Linked DNA regions of Xenopus tropicalis. The protein of the gene in region 2 purifies or fractionates together with the protein of the main gene of each other region. This does not show direct contact. Links are inferred from orthologs where the notes say so. Each region holds a gene or a part of one and is shown on either strand. Other genes may lie near its edges.

Region 1 (7,518 bases), on a different chromosome or scaffold from region 2:
AACCACTTAGATTGTAAGCTCTACGGGGCAGGGACCTCCTCCCTACTGTGTCTCATACTACATGGCACTTACTCCCTGTGTATTTATACTTATTTATTTATTGTATTTATTATAATACTTGTCTTCCCTGTATGTAATTTTGTATATTGTAAGATTGTATAGCTCTGCATAACCTTGTGGCGCTTTATAAATAGAGTTATACATACATACATACATTTGCCAGAACCCACAGATTGTCTGTCCAGGCCTGTTAGTGAAGGATATTAATGGGCTGTGATGTGAAATAACATAGGGCATAAGAATACCATATGACCTTGCTACAATCTAATAAGTCTGTGGAGCTATATCTATCAAGAAATGTAATTTTAAGAACATCCCCTCATGCCTCACAGGGATGTAAAAAGGAGCTCTGTGACTTTGAACTAATCTTAAAGATTCCTATTACAAATAGACAATATAACCTGCATATACCCAGAGCTTATATTAAATTTATTTTTTTAAATCTGCAATAGCATTACTAGCAGCTAGCATACTGAAGCACATTAGCTCATTTTTTCTCTGCCTAGTCACACATACAGTGAGGAACATACGTATTTGAACACCCTGCGATTTTGCAAGTTCTCCCACTTGGAAATCATGGAGGGGTCTGAAATTCACATTGTAGGTGCATTCTCACTGTGAGAGACAGCATTTAAAAAAAAATTCAAGAAACCACTTGTATGATTTTTAAAGAATGTATTTGTATTGCACTGCTGCACATAAGTATTTGAACACCTGGCAATCAGCAAGAATTCTGGCTCTCAAAGACCTGTTACTCTGCCTTTAAAAAGTCCACCTCTACTCCACTCATTAATCTAAATTAGTAGCACCTGCTCTTTAAAGACACCTGTCCACCCCACAGTCAGACTCCAACTAATACCACTAGACCAAAGAGCTGTCAAAAGACACCAGAGACAAAATTGTGGACCTCCACAAGGCTGGAAAGGGCTACAGGGCAATTGCCAAGCAGCTTGGTGAAAATAGATCAACTGTTGGAGCAATTGTTAGAAAATGGAAGAGGCAAAAGACTACTGTCAGTCTCCCTAGGACTGGGGCTCCATGCAAGATCTCACCTTGTGGGGTATCACTGATGATAAGAAAGGTGTGGAATCAGCTTAGAACTACAAGGGAGGAGCTGGGAAGAGAGCTGGGACCACAGTTTAAAGGTCACTGTCAGTAGAACACTACGCCGTCATGGTTTTTAAATCATGCATTGCACAGTAGGTCTGAAGCATGGGGGTGGTAAAAACATGCTTTGGGGGTGCTTTTCTGTGAAGGGGACAGGACGACTGCACAGTATTAAGGAGAGGATGAATGGGGCCATGTATTGTGAGATTTTGAGCAACAACCTCCTTCCCTCCCTCATTGAAGATGGGTCCTGGCTGGGTCTTCCAACATGACAATGACCTGAAGCACACAGCCAGGATAACCGTAAGAGGCATATCAAGGTTCTGGAGTGGCCTAGCCAGTCTCCAGACCTAAATCCATAGAAAATCTGTGGAGGGAGCTGAAACTCCATGTTGCTCAGCGACAGCCCTGAAACCTGACAGATCTAGAGGAGATCTGTGTGGAGGAGTGGGCCAAAATCCCTGTTGCAGTGTCTGCAAACCTGGTCAAGAACTACAGGAAATGTTTGGCCTCTGTAATTGCAAACAAAGGCTTCTGTACCAAATATTAACACTGATTTTCTCAGGTGTTCAAATACTTATGTGCACCAGTGCAATACAAATACATTCTTTAAAAATCATACAATGTGATTTGCTGAATTTTTTTTTAAATGCGGTCTCTCACAGTGGGAATGCACCTACAATGTGAATTTCAGACCCTTCCATGATTTCCAAGTGGGAGAACTTGCAAAATCGCAGGGTGTTCAAATACTTACATTCCTCACTGTATATATTCATGCTTGGGACCTCCCAAACTGAGCTGAGGCATTGATTATAGACATATTTATCAAGCAATACACCACACCTAACCACTTTCATACCATGGGGCCTATTTATCAGCAATAAAAGCATCCTAATGCTAAAGGCATGTAGAAAAATGCATTTAATGTATCACCCTAAAGCTGCAATTGTTTGCCATTTAATTATGCTCTCGGGAACCTGCTGATCCAAGGAAAATATCAATACAACAGGGATTCTGAACTTGAAGCATCACTAACTCTCTCTGGTTTCTATTTTAAATATCCCTTTACAGCAGGGATCTGGTACAGGCCCCCAGGAACACATCAATAGCTGTAACCGGAGGATTTTGGCAACTGTAGTTCGGCATAATTTTGGCAGCCAGAGCTTTTATATGTAAAATCAATTTATTTTCTTATACATTGCCCTAGTTTACAAGCTAGTGCTGTGACCCATATAGAATATGTCGACTGTATGAAATATGATGAGATTTTAAACAGCTGGAATGTTTATGTTTTTGCAGCTGTTATATTTTTGCCACTATGTCTTTTTTTCCCTCCTTCTCAGCTTTACCCCCCTATGCTGCTGCCTTCCTCACCCAGCGTTAATGTTCTTCCCTGCTCTTCAGGAAATTCATTGCACTGTGGAATGCATGGCCATCTTGGGTTTTTTCACAAGTGTTTAAGCCAGGCAGAGAGAGAAAGCCAAGCAGCGTGGGAGCACAAGAAAAGAAGAAAACTTTGCTATTGGTATTCTGCTTGAGCAAGTGCATGTAATGCTTGCACTGTATCTACTGATCTTGCTGGCGTGTGTGGAGTGCTCATTGGTCATTTCTACACAGTGATTAAACTGGAACAGATGGGGTTAATATGCTCATTATCCATTTCTGGGATATGTTTTGGTGAAATAGGTATAGTTTTTAAAGTTGTGGCCACAAAGTAGGCATGGTCAATTTTTTTGCTATTCAACAAGATCTTTGCCCAGAGCCTTAAAGGAACAGTAACACCAAAAAATGAAAGTGTATAAAAGTAATTACAATATTATGTACTGTTGCCCTGCATTGCTACAACTGGTGTGTTTGCCTCAGAAAGACTACTATAGTTTATATAAGTAAGCTGCTGTGTAGCCATGGGGGCAGCCATTCAAAGGAGAAAAGGCACAGGTTACTTAGCAGATAACAGATAAACCCCCATTATATGGGGCTTATCTACTAGTTATCTGCTATGTAACCTGTGCCTTTTCTCCTTTTTTCCAGCTTGAATGGCTGCCCCCATGGCTACACAGCAGCTTACTTATATATACTATAGTAGTCTTTCTGAGGCAAACACACCAGCTGTAGCAATGCAGGGCAACAGTACATAATATTGTAATTACTTTTATACACTTTCATTTTTTGGTGTTACTGTTCCTTTAAAGGAGAAGAAAAGGTAATAACTAAGTAAGCTTTATCAGAATGGTCTATGTAAATAGCACTTAATGCACTGAGTTGTCTATCAAAAGAAATACACGATTTCTTGTCTACTTTTTTCTGTGCCAGAGTCTGCACAGCTCTCTCCTCTCTCCCATAAGAATGCTAACAACCCCCCCCCCCCGCCCTTAGGAATGTGGATCTGAGCCAATCAGCAGGAAGCTTCCTCATAGTCTTACAAACTACGCATGTACAGAGGTCATGGTCTTGGTGCAGGAGCGTGGCAATATGGGAATTTTTTTACAAAGCTCAGGGTTCTTTTTTCCTATGAGGCTGAATAGGCAAAATATGGGGAGACTTAAGGGCACTATTGAGAGAACTGAAAGTATGCCTGCAGCTTGAAATTAACACTTTATTAGCCTTTCCTTCTCCTTTAAACAGCCCCGATTCAGAAACCAAACAGCAATGGTGCAGGCAGGAACCAAAATGTGGACTGCAGGAATGGTGCTTGGTTTGGACTGTAGGTCTGATGTACAGTATAGAAATGACCTTACTAGTTATGACAAGCCTTATCTTTGAGTTCCTCCATAATAGGAGGATGTAATGTATTATAGAAAGCTACAACAGCTTCCCACTACATTCAAAAAACATGGAAGTGTTATTTGTGTGTTTTTAAAGGAAGCCAATTAAGCTTGGGCAATGTCTTGCATCTTGCAGATTGACAATTTTACAAGAGACAGCTACCTGACAATTGTTTACACAAGCACTGGGGGGGGGGGATGATTATATGCCAACGACTAAGCTACTGGCAGCACCAAAGTGCCTGAAATCACTCTATGTACGATTGCTTTTATATGTAATACATATTGATAATGAATCTACATACTGCTTTCCAAGTTCCTGTTACCATTCTTTAAAAGCACATCATCATGGCTTTCATACCTTGCCTTGCAGTGTACTCATTGTCTTCAATCAATCTAGCAAGGCCAAAATCAGCAATTTTGCAAATAAGGCCATTTCCAACCAAAATATTTGCAGATCTCAAATCTCTGTGTATATAATTCATTCTCTCAATATAAGCCATGCCAGCAGCAACCTGTCAGTAAAAATAGAAAACATTAGTAAATAAATTTGCAACAGTAAGTAAAAAAAGGCAATAATAAAAATAAATTCAATAATATGGAGTTGATTAATGAAGCTTAGACTGCAGTTTGAGTAATGATGACCTTAATTAATAATGAAACTTTACTGTACCTGGGCAGCCATGTCTACTAAATTTGGCAACTTCAAGGCTCTTCCTTCTCCATCCTTTAGGAAATCTAGTAAACTACCTGCATTAGAACAATATTCAAATTAACCAACTTTATTACTTTTTTAAATTAGAAATTCCAGATGTATTAATAGGATATATAAGAATATCCCTAACAACAGCTGAATTTGTCTTTGGGGAGCCCCAAGGCTTGTGTATATATCTATATATGTATATATATCAGTAAATATTGCCCTTTTACATGCTTTCCCTTGATCCACCATTTAGTGATGGGCTGTGTGCTCCCTCAGAGATCACATGACCGGAAATAATGCAGCTCTCACTGTAACAGGAGGAAGTGTGGAGGCAAAAGGCAGAACTCTGTCCATTAATTGGCTGATGGGGCCTAGCATGTAAGTGTGCCTTGGCTTGTTTGTGTGCACTGTGAATCCTATGATCCCAGGAGGCGGCCCTTCATTCTTAAAATGGCAATTTTCTATTTAGGATAACCCAACAGCACATACTACTAAAAAAGTATATATATTTTTATTTATTTTTTAAAACTTTATTTTTAATTTTTGTTTTACAACAAGGTAGGTTACATATAAAACATGTGGGGGGAAGATAGAAAGAGTAAAGTTGGGGTCGCATAGGGGGTTGGGGGGAGGGAAGGGGGGTTAAAAAGTATATTTTTATGAAAATGTTTATTTAGATGAAGCAGGGTTTTATATATGATCTTTTTAAGAAGTATATTTTTATACAGATCTACATTGTTTTGGGGTATAGTTTTCCTTTAAGGTATAATATTGTCAAGCAAAAATCTCATCCTTTAGTGCAGATAGGCAGCTGATATCTGCTGCATCCTGTTCAGGTATGAAGTGACACTACCCATACTACTCTTCCGCACCAAATGCTCAGGTAAAGAACCCTTTACCGTACGTGCCTGAGGTGTCTGCTGTAGGAGCAGGGCTCACTTGGCATGCAGAAGAAAAATACATCACTGTGGGTCTTACTCCTAAACGCTTATTATATAGTTCCATCCATTACATGAACCAGAATGTGTCTTGTAAATACTAGCAGAAGAGAGCCTATTCCAACAGCAGCAACCAGAAAATATACACTTCTGTAATGCAGTGTAATGGCTATTTACACTAAAGGAAGGCCATGCACAGTGAAGACTTCTGCTAGTCAAGCACTTCCAGATATTGCAAGGCATGCATCTGCACTTGTAGATGATATGCATCTTCCCCGTCACAAAGAGAGCAATGAAACCCACATTAATACCCCTATGCATGTCAGGGGCTTCCTGGGGGCTTTAAAGAGGCAGTTATTTCACTTTGCTTCTACATCTTATCTTTAAATTTGGGTCTCTGGAGAAATTGTCATCTCTAACCATACAACATTAAAGATACAGATAAAGCAGGCTTAGTGGAAGTATTTGTTCAGTTGAAATAACTGGGGTGTCATGGGTATTATGTGTTCAATACAATCTGTGTGTTTCAGTAATGTCAGTCTGACATCATATGATCATAATTTACTAATTAATAAGTATTATATCTAAGAAGAGACTTTTAGAATCCTGACCTTTGCTCATGTACTCGGTGACAATATAAATGGGCTCCTCAGACACTACAGCATAGAGCTGCACAAGCTTATCATGCTTCAGTTTCTTCATGATCTGTGCTTCTTCTAAGAAAGATTCTGGAGACATGGTGCCTGGCTTCAGTGTCTTTATCGCCACCTTTGTGTTTCCATTCCATGTACCTGCAACACAACATACCCAAGAATATGCACATTAGCATCAGCTAGCATTTAGAAGGAACGGAAGAAGGGACCCATGCCATTGGCTCTAGGGTGGCAATTCTCCAGTGCTATGCAAAATCTATAAAGAAATTGTGTGGGGGTATATTTGCCCTTTAACAGGCAGCTCCTGTTACCTTTGTAGCAATGCCACAGGATGCATATACTAAATAAAATAAACTTAATGATAGCTGTGTTTCCAATTATTTGATATTTATTGCCACTTTAAAGGCCTGCTGGTATGAATTCATAACCATTGGCATGGACCCCTCCTTTCCCACACAGAGCTTGGCATGCAATCACAAATACTCATGCACTTTAAAAGCAAGCTGCATGCAATAAAAAGCCCACCCACCAAGAAAAGAAAAAAACAATATTCTCACACTAAAATCTCACCTATTTCCAATGTTAATGCAAATTTAAAACTACATTCAGAAAGGAAAGTTAGTGTGGAAATAAAGTGTTAATAGGATAATTGGTTTTGGATTGTAATTACATGCTACAATCACAATGGTAAAGGTCACAATCACAGAGGAATACAGAAACCGTGGCTAGGTTTTATTTAGGGATGCACTGAATCCATAGCTTTTTGGATCTGACCACCAACAAATTCTGCTGAAGTGTGTATATATGCTTATATGTATGTATGTATGTATGTAGTATGTACATTCTCTGTACCCCTAGTTTCAGGCATGGATTTCTGTTATTTATAGTGACACCTTCCATTTGTCAGTCTGCAGTTAAATTTAACGGAATTTATGAAACACACATACTGAAAGGGTCTGTTCACCCTAAAATTAACTTTTAATATGATGCACACAGTATTATTCTAAGCCAGCTTTTAAGTAGCCTTAATTTTTAATTTTTGTTATTTTATATTCACAGTTTTCTGTTCTACTGTTGGGTTGCCATGGCTAGCTAGATAACCAGACAGCAGATTGGAATCAATGAAATTCACTGCTAACTTTGTGTCATAGATAATGACAGATGGTTATATAGACAGACACCTCTCCATTATATAAATATATGAAAAGATATGCCAAACTTGATGGACTAATGGTTTTCTATAACCTTACCATTTAATAATGCACCATTGTCAATATAATAAACACCTTATG
Region 2 (7,518 bases):
GTTAAGGCCAGAGACCAGGACCGGATGATAAATCTTTGTGCCCCTAGGCCAGACTGCCACTCGCACCCACCTGCTGCTACCAACCACTGCCCCCACCACCTACCAGCAGTGTCTCCCCTACCCCCCACCTACACATCACGCTAGCCAAGGAAAATAAGGAGCCATGCTAAAGAAGGAATATGTGACAGATAGTGTAGTTATGATTGTGGCTCCCTAGCAATATGGCGGGCAGTATGCCACCCTAGGAGCAGGGATTTTTGGCCTTCTCACAAATACAGGCCTGCCAGGGATTACGTAGAGGCAAGAGCATTATCATTCCTGTATGCAAAGGGCTGGTAAGCCAACAGTATTGGGGTGGTTTGTAGTTCCCCAAAAATGATTTGCATTATATCTGAAACCATCGTCGACACCTTGGAAACATCATGCATATTTAGTATATAAAGGACACTGAACCAATTGCCATATACTCTTTATTGTATTATAGTAAACCTGTACTTGAGTAGCACTTTACTCTTACAATGCACTTTACAATAAATGTACATGCAGGTCCCTTTGGCTTCCCTACCACCCATCTCCTAATAGTACCAAGGTGGAAAACATACGGGAGGTAAATTATAACAACACTGCTGTAGCGCAGAAAGCGGAACACAGCTAATAATGAGAATGGAAGAGGGGCTTCTGGCTTGTTCCAGGCTGTGGGGTGGGCCTTTGTTTAGGGAGGTAGACTAAAGGTCAATGAAGTTGGGGTGAATATATTTTTTGCACTGGAGGATCACAGAACTTTGTTATGGACTAAAGGCCAATTGTGGAAGTTATAAAAAATGTTTGGGAACCAAATGTCTAAAGATAAAAAAAACCTCTGCCCTACACTATTGGCACTTATTGAGAGTGCTTCCTGGCTCTCTATGCCCTGCTCATCCTTCTAAATCAGTAATGAATGTAAAACTAAACTCTGTAAAGCAAAAGCCCCTGATTATCCAGGAGCAGGCTGATGTTACACACACCAAATACTATACTGGTATTTGCCTTTCTTTTACCAAAAACAATACACTATGCTGGCCTGGCTTGTTTGCCTCTGTAAAGCTGCATATGCCGTGTCTTGTTGTAATACTATTTGTATTTATTACATATTTACAGTATAAACAAATTTTTCTGTACCGCTCATATAAAAAACCAACAGGTTAATGTAACAAAAAGTCTTTTGTTTGCTCACATCTAGTAATCCATAGCAACCACCATAGCAACAAATCAGATGTTTGTCGACAGGTGAAAGCTACCTGCTGACTGATTGCTATGGGTTATTTTTAGACAAGTAACACACTTAAGACCATTTATTACATACTACCCAAATGTCTTCAGTCTGTTGCATGAAACTGAAACACTTGCAAGTCAGATATATTTGAATTTCCCTTATATATGTCTGCTATTGACTGGGATATGGACTCTACTGGTTTTATAGACATTGCCCCTATATTTACCAGCATCAGTGAATAAGTGAATTAGTGAATAAGACTGCTACACTGAGATTTTTGCTCCCCAGATCATTGACATAAGGCAAGCTCATCATCTTTACATTACATTGACTCATTTTGGTTTTATATCTTTACAGCATTTGTTGAATAAAGAATAAACATACCTGAGTAATAAGTTTTTTTTCTACAGAAGAAAAGGGTGGCAGTATGAAGAGTAATTAATAGTCACATCGACAGCTTTCTGTATCCTGCTACAACCTCAGCCTACTTAAAGAAGTCTGTATTTCACAAATGTTTGAGGACCTTAAACCTCACATTTTTTGACAAAATTCCTGTACATCTGAATCAATAAAATGGAAGAGCACAGCTTTATATACAGCAGAGGTGAAGTATGCTAGATTAGAGCAGGTACAAGTTTGGCCCTATATACACATCCTTTAGTTACTAGAATGTCAGCCAGCATTGTTTGATTACCCACTGATTACCAACTGATTTGCCAGCCAGTTTGATTTCCCACATTGGGACATGGGACCACTGCTGTTGATCTAAAGCAGGGGCAGGAACTGTATGGTTTGCTAGGTATTGTGAGCCACAGATGTGTGTAGGTAGGGCAGTAATTAGAGGCAAACATATTACACCGCTGTACTAGTCTGTACCAGCACCTCAAAACTAATGCTTAAAAATACACTCACAAATACTGCTTAGCAATCTTTGCAGGACTGGTCACTTAGGAACCAACCTATGGTGGTAATTACTGTGCTAGTTAGGGCTGCTACTATGCTTTTCAGGCAAGTGGACTGTATAAAAAATAAAACTACACCAATTAATATCTTTTATAGTATTCTACTTATTGGGCACTAGAGGGCAGCAGAACCTGTAAATTGAACAGACCGTTTTAACAATGTATCACCTAGACCTTTTTCTAATTTCATTTGGGCATATATGTCCCCAAACCCCTTCACTTCATTCTGTCATGGCTCTTCTGCAATCATACAACCTTCCACAGGTGTATTAAAAATATTTTTGCATTAACTGGTTCTATTAGCAATTGCCTGCGTCTCATATTTCTCCCCACTGATCCTGTCTCTCTGGGTTATGGTGCCCCCCCCCCCCCCGCCTAGCAGCAAACTGGTATAATCCTGCTGTGTGTCTCAGTGCCGCCTTGCTTGTAAAATGTAACCCCCTACTATCACTTTAGGCAGCAGAAGTAAAGTGGTGTTTATTGGGGGAAAATAATTAGAAGTCAGTCATTAGTGAAATTCGTCAGCCTTTGCCTGCTGTATGAGCTGTAGGGAATCTTTTGCAGCCTTGAGTTCCAAGTTGGTTACATAAATAGGATATACCAGGCAGCTAAGCCCAGCCTCGCTGTTCTGGTTCTGACCCCTCAGTATAGAATGCATTTCCACTTGAGTTGTGGGTGACACTTTTAGCTTTGGTATGCCAGCCTGCCATTGTCTCATACCAGCCCCAAGTCCAATGATGGTAACTGTATAGTGAAACAAAGAAAAATATTTCCTGTTCTGCAGGAGTAACCAATAGAAATCACATGACTGCTGGTAAGATTCAGACAGGCTGGTCATGGGCAGAAGTTTGTCTGATCCATTAATGATATTAAAGGGAGCAACATGAGCACAGAGTCAGAAGTCATACATTAAATCAGTCCAACTGTATGAATGAACCTGTGCGCGTGTGGCCAGTCTAACAATAAAAAGCCCCAACACATGGTTTGCATAATGGGATAATACTAGAGGAGTGCATATTTTATTTATTCCCAGACATGGCCCACCACATTGGGAGAATTGACTTTAATACCTCGATTATGAGAACGGAGTATAAAGCTGAGCAGCTGTACAGGGGCGTAACTTGATCAGTCTGATCCCATTTATTCTAGCATCAGCCTACTGCATACTTCATGTTACAATGCAAGCACTGCCGTTGCTGCTATACAACCTAATTGTAAGCTATTCAGAATAATAAAAACACACTTTCTGGCATATCCAATGGTATTCTAAACAATGTAGATTTAATCCTGCTGTGACCATTAGCTTTTCTCTCAATATAATTATCAACACTGTTAAATCCCATTATTTGTATACACAGTACAGCTGCAGAATAAAAGTCATTTATGGAAGATTTCTTTAAAAAAAAAAAATACAAAACTACCTAGAAGCTGCCTGAATTCAAGATCAGTTCCCATTTGGCAATCCTTCAGATTATGGTTAATGCCTGGCACATGTTCTTTAAGGCTGATATGAAAAGGCCCCTACGTGGGCCTGGAAGGCAGCAATAAGCAGATGTGTGCTTTTTCCGTGTCCTCACTCCACAATGAGAAAAGTACAAAAGGCTCCATCACAGACATGTGCTATTCAAGCTTGAAAAGAGAGAAAGTCACTTCCCAGGCCTTTAAAGTCTTGTAAAATCCCCATTTTGTACCAAATCCCCAATACTTTCATAGTCACTCTCTCCATGTGCAAGAAGCGTTTGGCCAGCATTGGTGTATAACATAGTCCTTTCCTCTTCTCTGCTTAAGTTAGCAATGGCTTCATACTCCGGATCAGGCCCTCCATTTGCTTTGTCCATCGCATGGGGCCCAGCTATGCTATCTGGGCTTTTATCAAGGTCTCTGACAGTGGCATAAGTACCATTGCAGGTGGTTGGGGATGTGTCCTGTGCAATATCCTGAATGTAAGCATAGTGGGAAAATTCCTCTTGAAGTTCGAAGGACTGCCCACTAGTTTTAGACACAGTGGAATACATGGCTGAAATCTAAAACAGAGACATCATATAAATAAGGGGCAATAACATGGAATGTAACATTTGTGTGCGTGCTTCCATACATTTTTGAGTGCACCTATTTCTTTCCAAACCTACTAACATGACTAAGGAAAAACTCACACCACTGGGGTGATAGGGTTTGTATAGCTGTGGTAAAGTGTAAGCTCCACAGGCTCAGGGAATGATGGAAAAACTGGGCATTCTCTGTATATTGAGGGCAGAAGCAGAAAACACCAAGCTTTTTGCTAGTTATTTATATGCAAAGGGCCCTGGGCTAATCCTGATTTGTGTAGAACTCCCAAGGTCTTATGATAATATTTTATATATTTGTTCTTACATTTTAGAGTAGAAATACTTACTTCAGAGTACTCTAAAGTATGTTTTGCGCAAGCCTACCCATTAACTGTTGAATAAGGGCTATACTTCCCCCATAACAGATACCATACCTGAAGTAGGCACCTAAGTAGTACAGAAAGCTTGCATTTTATCTTATCTTGTATTATCTACCTTATATTTCTGCCTTTACAGGACATGTAAAATAGCCTTTTTGCCACTCCTGTTGTTAAAAAGTTAATAGTAAGGCTGCAGCATCCTGTTAGTCAATCACTTAGGATTCCTTTTCCGCCTCTAACCCATTCGGCCCCTTCCCCTAGAAAATGACTTTGGCTCTTGGCTACTAAGCATGCTCAGTTCTTATCAACTTTGGTTACCAAACACACCCTCCAGTCTAGCAGCCAACGAAGAATTTCCACAGATATTCTGCTCTTGTGCACTCTGCTGGAGAAACATGCTTTTTTCCTAACCTCCTTGTCTTGAGCTCAGTATAACTTTTACAGGGCACAATCCAAGCAAGAGTTCTGATCAAAGTAAGTTCTGCCCGTGTAAGCCTGCATTCTTCATTGCATGAACTTTATGCACACATGTGCTGTTTGCAGATGTAAATGTCACTGAAGATGTGTGAGAGGGGCTGAGAGCAGCCAAAAAAGCTGGTATTTGTTTTAGGAAAATGTGATGGTGCTGGCAAACAGAGGGGATATATGCAGTACAATTGATGCCATTTGAGTGGGGAAGACCTGTCCAACTTATATACATGGTAGGAAAATGTAGGCTTTTACATGAGTTAACCGATGCTCATGCAGTCCCTATACACACACTCAGTTACTGCTAGTTATTTTATTGTGATTGATATGCTATTGAATAAATAGCTTATAGAGAATTATTATGTGCACACATTAATGGGCAGACAATCACAGGATATAAATGGGGTGCAACTGGAATTCTAGTGTCGTACTAATACAGTTACAGGCCAGGGTCCCCGATTAAAACACATAGAGAACTACTCTCATAAGAGCAGCCTGGAATGGAATACCTGCATGACTATTCTGATAAAAAAAAGTTAGACAGGTAAACCACTGGGCTTATTTATGATCTCGGGACAAATTTGCACCTGGACAGTTACCCAAAGGAACTAATCAGATGTTTGCTGTGATTGTTATACTTTCAGATGGCTAAACAAAAGCTAATTAGTGATTGGTTGCTGTGGGTTACTGCTCAGGTGCAAATTTGCCCAGTGTTGATAAATGATCCCAAGTTTTATTCAGTTGTACAAACACAAGGCCACAGTTAGTTTAGTATAATATGTATGTGAAGGTAAAGATAGCTCTGTATGCACATGCATTTGGAAGAGTCTTTTTTTTTTTAACCCAAATTAACTATAGCTATGTGCATAGTATAGCACACAGGTAATGGTATCATGAGTTACACAGGGAATTCTAAGTACATACATCTGTTTCTGTAAGACACGGATCCTCTTCTCGAGATTTGTAGGATACTAAACTTTGTCTCTGAAAGGAAAGAAAAAAAAGAAAGGAGAAAATCAATGGCTGGGTGATGCAGTGTCGGACTAGTCTACCAGAGATGTCCCAGTGGGCTTAGGCCGATCAATATTTTCACCCTGGACCTATATAAAAACTTATACAATCTGGCACTATCTATATCTAATTGCTGTGGGTCCAGGATGTCAGGCTCTGTAGTGGCCCCCAGGACACTCACTAACACTGTAGGTATGTTTATTTATCCCATCATAGCCACTGTTTTCCATTTCCAACCGCTGAATGAAAAATACTTACCTTATTTTTCGCCCTATAAGACGCTCCGGAATATAAGACGCACCCAATTTTAAAGGAGGAAAATCTAGAAAAATCTGCCAGTAGCACATCTGTCACTGTCCCGCCGCACACAGCCTGCCCAGCCCGGCATTGCCATTCCCAGCTACCCGTACATGTTGCAGCCGGAACCCGCCCCCACACACTATGGTCCAAAGGCGCACATCTCCCTGTCACCTGAGCACTGACATGACGGCACGGTGTCACACTGAGGGATACTTTCTGCATGTGAGAAGAGACGCCCGGCCCTCCCCCCACGGAATCTAAATGTACATGTAGTGCCTTATTGCCTCCTCCCCAGAAACACCTGCCCGGGCTGTGCGTCCCAGCGCTGTCACAGCAATAACACAAACTGTCTGAGTGTTTCGTTCCACTTGTGTTCCACTCATGTTCCTCTGTGCACCCACACTCACCTCATACTTGAGCGCGGCCCGCCTGCTCCATCATTTCTATTTACTACTCCCCACCCTACCCTACTAGCACCCAAGAGGCCCCCCAGTATGGGTAAGCAATGCGAATTTAAAAAATACGAAACCCCGCAACTTGCCATAGCGACGCTCGGTGTGACGTTCTGCGTTGTCAGACGTCCGGGGGGGGGCTGTCCCACAGTACTGCCGGGGGTTGCCCCATTCACTGAGGTGCCTGCTGATCCCATAGCCGCTCAGGCTGCTGAATGCTGTGCCTATTCCATGGCTGCAGAGCCGGCCTGAGACACTGAGGTGACACTCTCTGGGGCCAACTGGCGCCTGTACTCGAGCATGCTGGGAAACCTGAGTGGGGCTCAGGCGTATTCGTCGTATAAGACGCACCAACTTTTCCCCCCCAGTTTTGGGGAAGAAAAAGTGCGTCTTATACGGCGAAAAATACGGTAGATCTGAATAGACTATCATTTACGTTTAGCTGGCATGCTCCTCCTGCGGCTTCTCACCTACATTCAAAGCTTGTTCTGATGCAATGGGTTGTAGTTCAGCAGCATCTGGTGGTTCCGCCCTGGTTTAAACATACAACATCCCAAACAACACATATTGGCGTCGCAGAACATATGGGAATGATTGCTAAATACATTGAGTATATACATAATGTCCTGGCCTCTTTCCTCTAAACAT

The links. Proteins that work in one complex are often made in the same cells at the same time.
Region 1: the proteins of pag1 (region 2) and fyn purify together in Homo sapiens (co-immunoprecipitation; 3 studies listed by BioGRID and IntAct, with this or other methods). This does not show direct contact. The link is inferred for Xenopus tropicalis from reciprocal best matches to the Homo sapiens genes PAG1 and FYN.

Annotation. Positions count from the first base shown.
Region 1 is NC_030681.2:76,826,324-76,833,841, reverse strand, and holds part of fyn (tyrosine-protein kinase Fyn), read right to left. Parts: intron 6,365-7,518; coding exon 6,185-6,364; intron 4,683-6,184; coding exon 4,606-4,682; intron 4,448-4,605; coding exon 4,294-4,447; intron 1-4,293. UniProt on the Homo sapiens protein: Non-receptor tyrosine-protein kinase that plays a role in many biological processes including regulation of cell growth and survival, cell adhesion, integrin-mediated signaling, cytoskeletal remodeling, cell motility, immune response and axon guidance.
Region 2 is NC_030682.2:123,781,781-123,789,298, forward strand, and holds the end of pag1 (phosphoprotein associated with glycosphingolipid-enriched microdomains 1), read right to left. Parts: intron 6,092-7,518; coding exon 6,032-6,091; intron 4,239-6,031; coding exon 3,876-4,238; 3' UTR 1,667-3,875; downstream 1-1,666. UniProt on the Homo sapiens protein: Negatively regulates TCR (T-cell antigen receptor)-mediated signaling in T-cells and FCER1 (high affinity immunoglobulin epsilon receptor)-mediated signaling in mast cells.